Linked DNA regions of Oryctolagus cuniculus. The protein of the gene in region 1 interacts with the protein of each later gene in a pairwise test. Links are inferred from orthologs where the notes say so. Each region holds a gene or a part of one and is shown on either strand. Other genes may lie near its edges.

Region 1 (2,532 bases):
TTTTTCTCGTTAGTTTTAAGTGCTTGGTATTTAAATGTGTCACCATTTTCTCTCTTTCTTGCTTACCATTTCTCCTTAAGTTGGAAAGTTTATTTCAGAAGGAAACTACTTGGATGTTTCTGTGCCACAGAATCACAAAAACGTCTTATTTCCTAACTTCCACAGATGAGTTGTTTTGCACTGTCATTTACTAAGTTCAGACATGCTGTTCTTCATTGTTCTAGAAGGAAGATGTGCTGGGCTCACAGGAGCAGCTGCCTCCAGCTCCTTTAACACCGCCCATCTCCCAGATGGATGCTGCTATTGGGTTGCTGATGCCTCCTCTGCAGACCCCTGACAACCTCTCGGTTTTCTGTGACCACAACTACACCGTGGAGGACACGATGCACCAGAGGAAAAGGATTCAGCAACTGGAACAGCAGGTCGAGAAACTCAGGAAGAAGCTCAAGACGGCACAGCAGCGATGCAGAAGACAAGAGCGGCAGCTTGAAAAGCTGAGGGAGGTCGTGCACTTCCAGAAGGAGAGAGACGACTCGTCGGAGAGAGGCTACGTGATTCTGCCAAGTGACTGCTTTGAGATAGTGGAAGTGCCGGCATGAGCAAGAGACATGCGTTGAGTTTTTAATGGGGCAACACCACACACCCTCTTTTAGCCTGTAAAGGAGTTTCCTTTGAAAAAAATAACACTTGATTATTTGTATAAAAGCAATTCAGAATATTTTTTTAAAAAAATAAATTAGATATATACTGTAAAATTGTAAGGTTTTTGTTTGTAATTTCAGGGTTTTTACATTTTAACAAAATATCTTTGAAGTTATAAACTAGCCTCAAACTGCCAATGTAAGTTGGTTTCAATATTGGGGATTTTTGTTTTCTAGAATATTTATAGAAATAATGTAAAAGTAAAAAAAATGAGAACAGTGCAGTAAGTTTTAAGTTTAAAAGTTAAAATTCATGCTGTTTATTGAGAAATTTAGTTATATTTTAAATCAAGAAGGATCAGATCACGGGCATAACGTCAAAAGATATATAAGTATATACATACCTATACTCACAGATTCTTACAGGTGAAGTCAGGAGGTTTCATTTACCATTCTGAGTCAGTTGTCAAATCAGCAAGTCAGTACTTGAAAAGACTTGAGTGTCTTTGCAGCAGAAAATGAACATCTACTTAATAAGTAACTTTATGAAGAACAGATTTTTTTAAAGTAGGCCTGTCTTTTTTCCCCACTGTTAAGCTAGAAGTGTGTCTTCAGTGAAGGAAAAATCCTTCAGTAAACAAAATGAGGCTTTGTTGTCAGTGAGTAGTAAAAGCTAGGGCCTGACCACGACGCTTGTTTCTGTAATGACCCCTAGGTAAAGGACAGCCAGCTCCCTCCTGAGGTGATATCTGTGTCCAAAGCTTTAACAAATGTGGTACTAGAGTTTGGTTTGTTTATATTAATTTTTCAGTAACATTGATTTTAGCCAAAACTTCACCAAAAAAATCATTTCTTCTAACAAGTTAGAAATTGTACCCCGTTTATCTGAATGAGTGATTTGTATTCAGAAGCAGCCTCATGTATGATGTTTATTTGCTGAATGTTGAGATTTAAACACTGAGGTTTCTGTTCAGACTGTGAGTTGTGTTCTGACTTTGTGAGAAATTTTACATATATTTGAAATGGAAATATGTTCTGAGTAAACAAATACTGCTAATAGAAGTAACCTACTTAGATTTAGAATAACTATTCCAACTCTGTCACTTTTATAAATGCACTGAGGTAGTTGAAGAGTAACAGACCTTTCAAGACAGTATTAAAATGTGGAACCATTTTGTGTCTTTTGTAGACCTCGTTTTCATTGTAATTCACTGCCACACTGCCATGGATAGTACTTTGATTCCTGATATTTTAGGAACCAGTGTCTCAAAATAGGAAATAATGATAAGAAGATTACGTGAAGTCACATAGTCTACTAGCAACATTTAGAACTAACTCAGTTGAATGCATGTTCACTGGTTATTTATGGAACTCGTAGCTGTTCATCTCTCTAGCAATTTCTGGAAGATACATGGGTAGATACTTTGCCAAGTATTTGTCTTCAACCTAAATTTTTGTCTTTCTACATGAAAGATTGTGTGTGTGTGTGTGTGTGTCCCCAGAACTGAGAATCCAGATTAGGATATAAAAGTATTAATCATAATTAGCATCTTAGACTTATTATTTAATCTGGAACTGCTTTCTTTTCATAACAGACTTAATTTTTCACTTGGAGAGAACTGAACAAGCAGCATGCACACCAACTGCTTCCGTTTAAATAATTTATCATAATTTAGCATAAGGAATTTGAGGTGCAGGCGCTTTTTTGTGATTCGAGATGTAACATTTGTTGAGTGTTTTAAAATTCATTTGATGTATTTTATTGTTTGTAACATTGCCAAGGAAAGTAGAACATTTAGGCTAAAATAGGTCCTGTTCCAGCATGGTGGAGCTCAGTCTGAAACTAACAGGGACAAGGTCTCAGTATGGAATAAATGGGTTCTTGTAGTCT
Region 2 (4,540 bases), on another chromosome or scaffold:
ACCCCTCGCCTAGGACCGCCTTCTCGCTGGTGGAGTGGCCTGGACTGTTTTTGGATTCAATTTGGGAGGTTTGAAATAGGAAACACTTCTTTTTCTTTTTTTTTAAAGATTTATTTATTTTTTGAAAGGCACAGAGTTATAGAGAGGCAGAGGCAGAGAGAAAGATTGAAAGAGAGAGAGAGAGAGAGAGAGAGAGAGAGAGAGAGGTGTCTTCCATCTGCTGGCTCACTCCCCAGATGGCCACAACAGCCGGAGCTGTGCCGATCTGAAGCCAGGAGTCAGGAGCTTCCTCCAGGTCTCCCACGCGGGTGCAGGGGTCCATCTTCTACTGCTCCCCCAGGCCAGAGCATGGAGCTGGATCGGAAGTGGAGCAGCCAGGAATCGAACCGGCGCCCATGTGGGATGCCGGCACTGCAGGCAGCGGCTTTACCCGCTACACCCTAGTGCCGGCCCCAGGAAGCACTTCTGATGTCCAGCTGGACGAGCACACCTATGCAAACAGGGCAGGGCCTGGACAATTCCTTGTTCTATTGCATCCACCTGGGAAGGATTAAAGAAACAGAATGACGGGTGGGGAAGAGAACCAGGAGGAGGAAGAGTTATTAACCTGCTACCTCCTTACAGTCATAACCTCATAAACTCCAGCAGAGGTCAGGAGGGCTGCGCTTAGCCATCGCCTCCCCTCGGGGATCTCGAAACTTCCTTCCTGAACCCCCAAAGTGGGTCCCCTCTTCCCTTGCATTTCAGGGTCCACGTTGGGAAGATGTGGTGTTTAACTAGGCTTCGTGGCTCTTCATGCTTGGGTAAACTTATTTCATGTGGGAAAACTACGTGTACTGGGCCAGCGCTGTGGCGCAGCTGGTTAAGCCACAGCCTGTGGTGCTGGCACGGGTTCGAGTCCCGGCTGCTCCACTTCCGATCCGGCTCCCTGCTAACGTGCTTGAGAAAGCAGCAGATGCCGCGCTCGTGGGAGACTCGGGTGGCGCTCCAGGCCCCTGGCTTTGGCCTGGCCCAGCCCCTGCGGCCACTTGGCGAGTGAACCAGCGCAGGGGAGGTTTCTGTGCCTCTAACTCTTTCACGTGAATAAAAATGTATCTTATAAAACAAACAAAAAAGCTCTCCGGACCCCCGCAGGTGGAGCTGACCACCCTTCCCGGGGGGTTTTTTGGGTGGATTCTGTGACCCCAGACTCGTTCTGGACTCACTTCGGGGACACCGCGTGCATCCGGGCGGCCCCCACTCCCTGCGGCCGTGGGCCCCGGAGCCGGACGCCTGGACAGCGGCGGGGCGGCGCGGGCACGGCCTATCCGCCCGCGCTGGCCCATGTCGTGTTCCCCACAGCGGCCACCACCCCCGGGGCCGGCACTCGGCCTCTCACGGCCCACTCGAGAGCGCGCCGCCGTGCAGGGCGGCAGCGCCCGGCGGGCGGCTCCAGGCCCGAACGCCGGGCCGGGCCTTCCGCGTTGACCTCATCCGGCCCGCGGAGCACGGGGCGCAGACAGCGAATCGCCGGCGCGACCCGCAGGGAACGCCCCGCCGACTCTGCCCGCCGCGGAGGCGAGCGACGCGTCCGCCGAGCTGCGCGACTCGGGCCGCGCCCGCCGGGCGCTCGCAGGCTGCAGGGCCGTCAGCCGCCGCCGCCGCCCGCGGGCCGACCCCGCCCAACTGCCGTCGAACCTTCTGGAAGCCGCGCCCCGGGGCAGCCCCCTCCGCCGACAGAACCGGACGCCGACGCGGGCCCACCGCGGCCGTGGCGGCCAGGGGGGCGGGGAAAGGGGCGGGGCCCGAGCGGGGGCGGGGCCCGCACGGGGAGGCCGCGTTCGATTCGCCCCCCGCGCGCAGGCCCCGCCTTGCCGGCGCCATGGCTCCGCCTCCGCCCTCCCCCTCCATGGCGCCGCCCGGGCTCATTCATTCCGCGCCGGGCCTTCCAGACACCTGCGCGCTCCTCCCGCCGCCTGCAGCCGCCGCCGCCGCCGCCGCCAGCATGTCGGGCCCCGCCGCCGACACGCCGTCCGCCATTCAGATATGCCGGTAAGAGAGGGGCCCACCCGTGGGGTCTGCGACCCCCGCCCACCGAGGCCGCCGGCATCCCCGCCCCGGCGCCGGGGGATCGCCCCTCGAGTCCCCGCGCCCTCGTCTCGGGGCCCGGGCCGCCGGCGGCGGGGATGCGCCGGCGATGCTGAGGTAGACGCGGCCCGGGGGGCTCCTCCCACCACCTCTCGGCGCATCTCAAGGGCGGCGGCCGCGCTGCCGCCAGCACCGGCCGTTTGGGGGGAGGAAGAGGGCCGGGGCCAGGACCGGCGAGGGGGTCGGTGCACCCGACATCTCAGACCCCGGCCCGGGATGCCCTCTGGGCCCCCGGAGCTTCGGGATCGCCCCCTGGGCTGTAGTGCGGAAGCGAGGGTGGAGGACCGGCGCCGGAGCCCCCCGGAGGCCGCTCGCCGTGGGTTTAGGGAGGGGGCTGCGCCCGCCGGCCCCACAGCCCCCCGCGGCGGGTTCGGAGAGGGCAGGTGTGGAGGCCCAGAACCGATCAGGGCTCTTGGCCTGGAGCGGCTTACCGCTAAGGAAAGGGAGCTGCGCGGGCCCGAAGCATCTCACACAATAGGAGGCAGAGTCGTCTCGGCGACCCCCACCACACCCGCGTGTCGGGATAGAGATGCGGGCCCCAGCGGCCGCGGGGGGTGGGAGCTTGCTGGTCTCCAGGCAGGAGGACGGGAGGGCAGCCTCAAGGTGACCGGCAGGCCGCCGGGCGCAGAGGCATCAGTGCGGGCGGACAAGGGCGAGGCCAGCTCTGTCCTGCTGGGGGGACCAAGCCGGGTTCCCCACGCTGGGCATCGCGCTGACCTGGGGTCCCAGCCGTGTCCACCCTGGGCCAGTTACTTTCCCGAAGGAGCTGGTTCTCTGGGAGCCTGGAGCTCCTGCCCCCAGCTCCCCGTTCTCTGGCTTGGCCGAGACCCCTTTGTTGGTCTTAAGGTCAATCTTGGCTTTCCTAGCGAGGGGAAGCGTGCATGGGGGAGCCCTGTGCCCCTGGCTGTGTGCTGTCCTCTCAGGTGGTGGTGGTGGGGGGAGGCAGGGATAAAGATAATGAAAGTGACTGATGTTGGCAGACAGACAGGCCCGCAGCCAGATCCCGGAACCGGGCTGCCTTGTTTGCAAGGAGCCTGAGCTCATCTCCATCTCGTTGGGTTCCCTGCAAGGCTGCAGGGTCGGGACCTCCGTGCTGGCGCTGTGTGGAGCCAGCGGTTGAGGATCCCGGGGGCTGAGTAGTTCTGGGAGGGCCACGCAGTGTTCGTCCCACCGTTCTCCCAAATGAAGAGTTTGTTTGCCTGCGGAAGGCTGGGCGTGTTTACTTCTTCAGGGTGGGGAGTAGCCTGGGTGTATATATATATTGTCTTTTTCCAACTAACAGGAAAACAGATTCTTGTAAGGCTTTAGATGCTCCCGTAAGCCTGCATGTGCACTCTCTCGGGCGCTGCACCTGCCGGGCCGCCTCGCGTGTCTGGTTCACAGCTGCACCGTCTCTGAAGTGGGTGCTTGGCCGTGAGGTCTTGTGAGCAGGGTGCCCGGCTGAAGTGGTCCTCGGGCGCAGGGCACGCCTGCCCCGGGAGAGGGTGCTGGGCAGAGGGCTGTGGTCAGGTGGGCTTGACCCACAGAAGCCCCAGGACACTGAAGAGTGGACGCGCTGGAGTGGGGAGCCTTTAAGGATACCCGAGCTGATGCCCTGCATTGAAAGCGGAGCCTCCTGGCCCGACACATCCTACCAGGCCCATGAATTTAACAAGACTCCACGGGACACTGCCAAGGAGCAAAGCGCTGGGAGGGAAAGCTGACCCCGGGGAACCCTGAGACCCTGCCCTGAGGGGGTCACGGTTCAGCAGGGCGAGGATGCCCACGCCCCTGTCATTCTAGACGGTCAGGGCGACGCCGTGCTGCAGGCAGGATGCTCCAGGATCAGAGGCCTTAAAGGCAGGCGAGGGCAGCGGTTACTGGCAACGCCTCTGTCCCTCGCTCGCCGCGTGACCGCTCTGTGCTCCCATTTGCTCACGGGTGGTTGTGAGCGCTCACTAACAGAACGTCTAGCTGGGGTCTGGCGGATGGCTCGCACTGCGGGCGACACCCATGTTCAAGCCCCAGCTCTGCCGCCAGCGGTGGGACCTCATCTGTAAATGAGTCACGGTGAGGGTGAGCACCTTTGGCCCAGTCTGGCGTAGCGCTCACAAAGGGAGCAGTTCCCCTTTGAGAGCCGGCACTTTGGGCAGCCAGACCACTGTGCGACGTTGTCCCTCCTTCCTTTGTTCCAACCCGAAGAGATGCAGTGTCTGGTGCAGCACTTAACGTCTCGCCCTCTGACTTATTTGGAGTAGCGATGTTTAATTAGTGAATGACTTTTTTCCTTTCTTGAAGGTCAAGTCGTAGGATGTCAGACCTTGGGGCAGGTGCCTGGCACAGCAGTTCAGCTGCTGTGTGTGCTGCCCACGTCCCACGTTGGAATGCCTGGTTCGAGTCCCAGCCATACTGCTTCCAGTCCAGCTACTTGCTG
Region 3 (4,490 bases), on another chromosome or scaffold:
AAAGCGAAGTTGGGGTTAGGGATTTTAAATACATACAAATCCGACATAGTGATAGGTGGGTCACGCGGATGTCAACATGCTGACACACGCCTGTGTCCACCGAGGGCCCAGAAGCACAGCCCACACCCACGTCTTGGATTCTAAACCCCACGCTCCACCACGGGGACCCCCGCTCCGGGGACAGGCGGGGATTCCCGGCGAGGAAGGCTGAGGGCTCTCACTGACCCGGGGAAGGGCCTGGCCTCTGCAAGCCGCAGCGGTGACGCGGGCACCCCCACGGAGGAGGCCGGCACAGGGTGACGACGCGCTCCTGGCACGTTGTCCGCAGCACGCTGGCCGCCCACACACGAGAAGGAGCTCGGCAGGGCGGCTCCGGGTCGCGAGGACAAGGCAGCCCCCAGACGCGGCGCACCCAGAACGCGGCCCCGCTTCCGCGCCGGGCCTGTCCGGTCCCGAGAGGACCGGGGCAGCGTCCGAGTGGCCCGGGCGCGGGCGGGGAGCTCCCGGGGGCGGCACCTGCTGCCTGGGCGTCCTGAGCAGGCAGACGAGCCCGTGCGCCCCGATCGCACACTTCCTGCCCGTGCAGGGAGTCTGCCCGCTGCGATGCGCCCACAGCCCGGGAGCCTGCGCGCAGAGCCCACAGCGAGGACGGCGCCAGGCCGAGCCCCGGCTGCTCCACTCGGATCCGGCTCCCCCGGGGGAAGATGGCCCAGCCGTGTGGGAGGCCCGGGTGAAGCTCCTGGCCTCAGCCCGGCCACTGCAGCCCCGTGGGGAGTGACCAGCGGGCAGAGGACCCCCCTCCCCGTCTCCCTTCCTCGCTCTGTCCCTGCAGGAAAGGACGTTGGCCCACGCGCTTGGGCCCCCGCTCGGGGCACCTGGAAGCAGCTCCGGCTTAGCCGTGGCAGCGGATAGAGACCTTTCTGTGTCTGGTTCTCCAGCCCCGCCATTTCCGCTAAGTCAAATAAATCCAAAAGCACAGGTCGGGCGGGGCCTGAGTGGCCCGCTGTGGACGCCCACGCCAGGTCTGCAGCACCCACGCACCCCCCCCCCCCAGCCGGGCAGCCCGGCGGCGCCTCTGGAACCTTCTGGAGCCCAGCGCCGGCCGGGACTTCAGGGGGCGGGGGCCGGGCCACGGGGCGGGGGCGCACGGACGGCAGGCGCGGGCGACATGTTGCATGGGGGGGGGGGTCTCTAAGTTTGGAATTACTTCGAGACTACATTAACTTGTTTAACAAAACGGAAGGCTCCGGCTCCACCGCGGGACAACCCTGGGCAGGGGGCGGCCCGGGGGCCCCAACCCCGCCCCCAGCCCCCAGGCGCCTCTCCACAGAACCGGCCTCGGCCGCGCTCGACGCCGCTGCCGCTCGCGAGAAGCTGCGAGACTGTTCGGGAGGGGGCGGGGTGCCGGGATTGGCCGGCGGACAGTGACGTCATCGGAGCGCCGGGCCGCGGCGCGCCGGGATTGGCCGGCCGGAGGTGACGTCGCAGGGGCGCCACCGGGACGGCCGGGCTGTGACGGGTCTCCGCGGCGGCGAAGTGGCGGGGCGCTGGGGGAGTCGTGATGCCGGGGCTCGGGCGCCGTGCTGCTCCCGGTGTCGCCGTTCTGGGGGCCTCGATCCCGGGGACTGACCGCGAGAGGGGCGCCCGCCTCCTGCCGGCCGCCGCAGCTTCTCGGCTCCCGGACGAGGGCCAGGTACGGGGCTGGGCCCCTGGCCGGCGATGTTGCAGGAGTGCAGGGGTCGTAAACCCACCCCCAGCCGAGCCGCAGCCATGCACGGGCTCGCGGCTGCTGGCTGTCCTCGCTGCGGGCACCGGCCGGGCGGACAGGGCGCCAGCATCACGGCAGTGACCCCGCGGAGTGACCGCAGGCCCTGGGCGGTTGTTTGAGCGCCCGCGCTCCTGGTGGGTGAGGGTCCAGCCGGGAGCCGCGTGCGGGCGGAGGCCGCGTGCGCCGCGCCGTGCGCCGCAGTGGTGTCCGAAGCCGGCAGCTGCGCTGGGGTGGGGGGCCGCGCCGCAAGGTAACCTGTCCCGGGTGGGCGGCACACGGCCTCCCGTGGTCACTTAACTTTTTAGAAAACGATTGATATGGAAGTCGCAACCCGAACCCCAACCCCAACCCTGGCGAGGGAGGGAGAGTCAGAGGCCTTCCGTCTGCGGGGTCACTCCCCAGCCGAGGCCGGGCCAGGTCACAGCCAGGAGCGGGAGCTTCTTCAGGCTCTGCCCCGTGGGTGCGGGGGCCCAGGCTCTCGGGCCGTCTTCTGCTACTTTCCTAGGCGCGCTGGCAGGGGGCTGGGTCAGAGGTGGAGCAGCCGGGACCCCAACCTGTGCCCGCATGGCACCGCAGTGCCGGCCCCCAGCCATTTAACTTCATGAAAATCAAGTAGAATTTGGAATCCGGCTCCGGGTTCGCTCACTGCACCGTCTCGGGCTGGGGGGGGGGGGGGTGTCGGTCGTTGTGACGTCACCGCGACGCCTGGTTCTCTGGACCTGCCACAGTGGGAGGAAATAGGACTGTGTCCTCATGGGCACGGGACCGTGGGAGCCGGGCGGGAGCCCGTTCACGGGGCACAGGACCGTGGGAGCCGGGCGGGAGTGTATTCACTGGGCACAGGACCGTGGGAGCTGGGCGGGAGCAGGTTCCCCGGGCACAGGACCGTGGGAGCCGGGCGGGAGCCCGTTCACGGGGCACAGGACCGTGGGAGCCGGGCGGGAGCAGGTTCCCCGGGCACAGGACCGTGGGAGCCGGGCGGGAGCCCGTTCACGGGGCACAGGACCGTGGGAGCCGGGCGGGAGCGTGTTCACTGGGTACAGGACCGTGGGAGCCGGGCGGGAGCAGGTTCCCCGGGCAGAGGACCGTGGGAGCCGGGCGGGAGCCCGTTCACGGGGCACAGGACCGTGGGAGCCTGGCGGGAGTGTATTCACTGGGCACAGGACCGTGGGAGCCGGGCGGGAGCGTGTTCACCGGGCAGAGGACCGTGGGAGCCGGACGGGAGCGTGTTCACCGGGCAGAGGACCGTGGGAGCCGGGCGGGAGCGTGTTCACCGGGCAGAGGACCGTGGGAGCTGGGCGGGAGCCCGTTCACCGGGCACAGGACCGTGGGAGCCGGGCGGGAGCAGGTTCCCCGGGCACAGGACCGTGGGAGCCGGGCGGGAGCGGGTTCCCCGGGCACAGGACCGTGGGAGCCGGGCGAGAGTGTATTCACTGGGCACAGGACTGTGGGAGCCGGGCGGGAGCCCGTTCACCGGGCACAGGACCGTGGGAGCCGGGCGGGAGCGTGTTCACCGGGCAGAGGACCGTGGGAGCCGGGCGGGAGTGTATTCACTGGGCACAGGACTGTGGGAGCCGGGCGGGAGCCCGTTCACCGGGCACAGGACCGTGGGAGCCGGGCGGGAGCCCGTTCACCGGGCACAGGACCGTGGGAGCCGGGCGGGAGTGTATTCACTGGGCACAGGACTGTGGGAGCCGGGCGGGAGTGTATTCACTGGGCACAGGACCGTGGCAGCCGGGCGGGAGCGGGTTCCCCGGGCACAGGACCGTGGGAGCCGGGCGGGAGCGTGTTCACCGGGCAGAGGACCGTGGGAGCCGGGCGGGAGTGTATTCACTGGGCACAGGACTGTGGGAGCCGGGCGGGAGCCCGTTCACCGGGCACAGGACCGTGGGAGCCGGGGGGGAGCATGTTCATGGTACTTGTTCACTGGTGACTGTGGCCTTGGTGTTGTGTCCAGGTGATTCAGGTCACGTGGGTAGAAATGGGAGGAAGACTAAGGAAAATGTGGCTGAGAGGCGGCCCCCAGTGCGCGGCCACAGTGTGCTGGGTGGTCAGTGGACGCTGCTGCCTGGCCGGGGCAGGGTGGACGGGGGGTGGCTCAGCATCTCACGCCTAGGTCTGCGCTGGCCGGGGCTCAGCCTCCTGCCCTCTCTGGGCGGCGGGGCGGGGAGGGCGACTCAGGCCCCGCCCACTGGCCAGGCCAGACTGCCGGGTGGTCTGTCCACTCTGGCTTCCCTGCGCCCGGCTGGAGACCCTCAGCGGTGCTTTATTGTTTGGTGGATTTGGGGCACCAGGCCGTGTCCCCAGCAGCAGGCCCCGGTGGTCCCGGTGGTCGCGGGACTCCCACCTCCCCCACCTGAGGGGCAGGTGCGGGCTGTGTGCTGTGTGTGAGTGCTGGTGTCTGAACTGCAATGCCTGGTTCCAGATGCCCGCGTCCCGGTGAGCCCGCTGTGTCACAACTCCGTCCCGGTGAGAAGGGGCAGAGGTGGACGTGGGGTCAGCGAGCCCGTGGACGGGGACTGCAGACGCCACCCTGGGAAGAGTTGGGAGCAGGTGCAGGGGCGCCCCTGGTTCCCGGGGGGGGGGCAGTCCTGAGAGCGACCCCAGCAGGTGCAACGTGGGACCCTGACGCCACGCGGAGTGTCCTGTGTGCGCGTGGTCGCAGGGGTTTTTATTTTACTGGAATATTTTTATTTACCGGAAAGAGTAGCAGAGAGCTCCG

What was found.
Region 2: the proteins of THAP1 (region 1) and ACOT7 interact in binary tests that used the Homo sapiens proteins (3 or more experiments, as listed by UniProt). The two-hybrid records come from large-scale screens. The link is inferred for Oryctolagus cuniculus from reciprocal best matches to the Homo sapiens genes THAP1 and ACOT7.
Region 3: the proteins of THAP1 (region 1) and CHLSN interact in binary tests that used the Homo sapiens proteins (3 or more experiments, as listed by UniProt). The two-hybrid records come from large-scale screens. The link is inferred for Oryctolagus cuniculus from reciprocal best matches to the Homo sapiens genes THAP1 and CHLSN.

What each region holds. Positions count from the first base shown.
Region 1 is NC_091433.1:92,914,918-92,917,449, reverse strand, and holds the end of THAP1 (THAP domain-containing protein 1), read left to right. Parts: intron 1-224; coding exon 225-599; 3' UTR 600-1,815; downstream 1,816-2,532. UniProt on the Homo sapiens protein: DNA-binding transcription regulator that regulates endothelial cell proliferation and G1/S cell-cycle progression.
Region 2 is NC_091438.1:161,105,754-161,110,293, forward strand, and holds the start of ACOT7 (cytosolic acyl coenzyme A thioester hydrolase), read left to right. Parts: upstream 1-1,539; 5' UTR 1,540-1,861; coding exon 1,862-2,031; intron 2,032-4,540. UniProt on the Homo sapiens protein: Catalyzes the hydrolysis of acyl-CoAs into free fatty acids and coenzyme A (CoASH), regulating their respective intracellular levels.
Region 3 is NC_091450.1:36,496,315-36,500,804, reverse strand, and holds the start of CHLSN (protein cholesin), read left to right. Parts: upstream 1-1,489; 5' UTR 1,490-1,693; intron 1,694-4,490. UniProt on the Homo sapiens protein: Hormone secreted from the intestine in response to cholesterol, where it acts to inhibit cholesterol synthesis in the liver and VLDL secretion,leading to a reduction in circulating cholesterol levels. Acts through binding to its receptor, GPR146.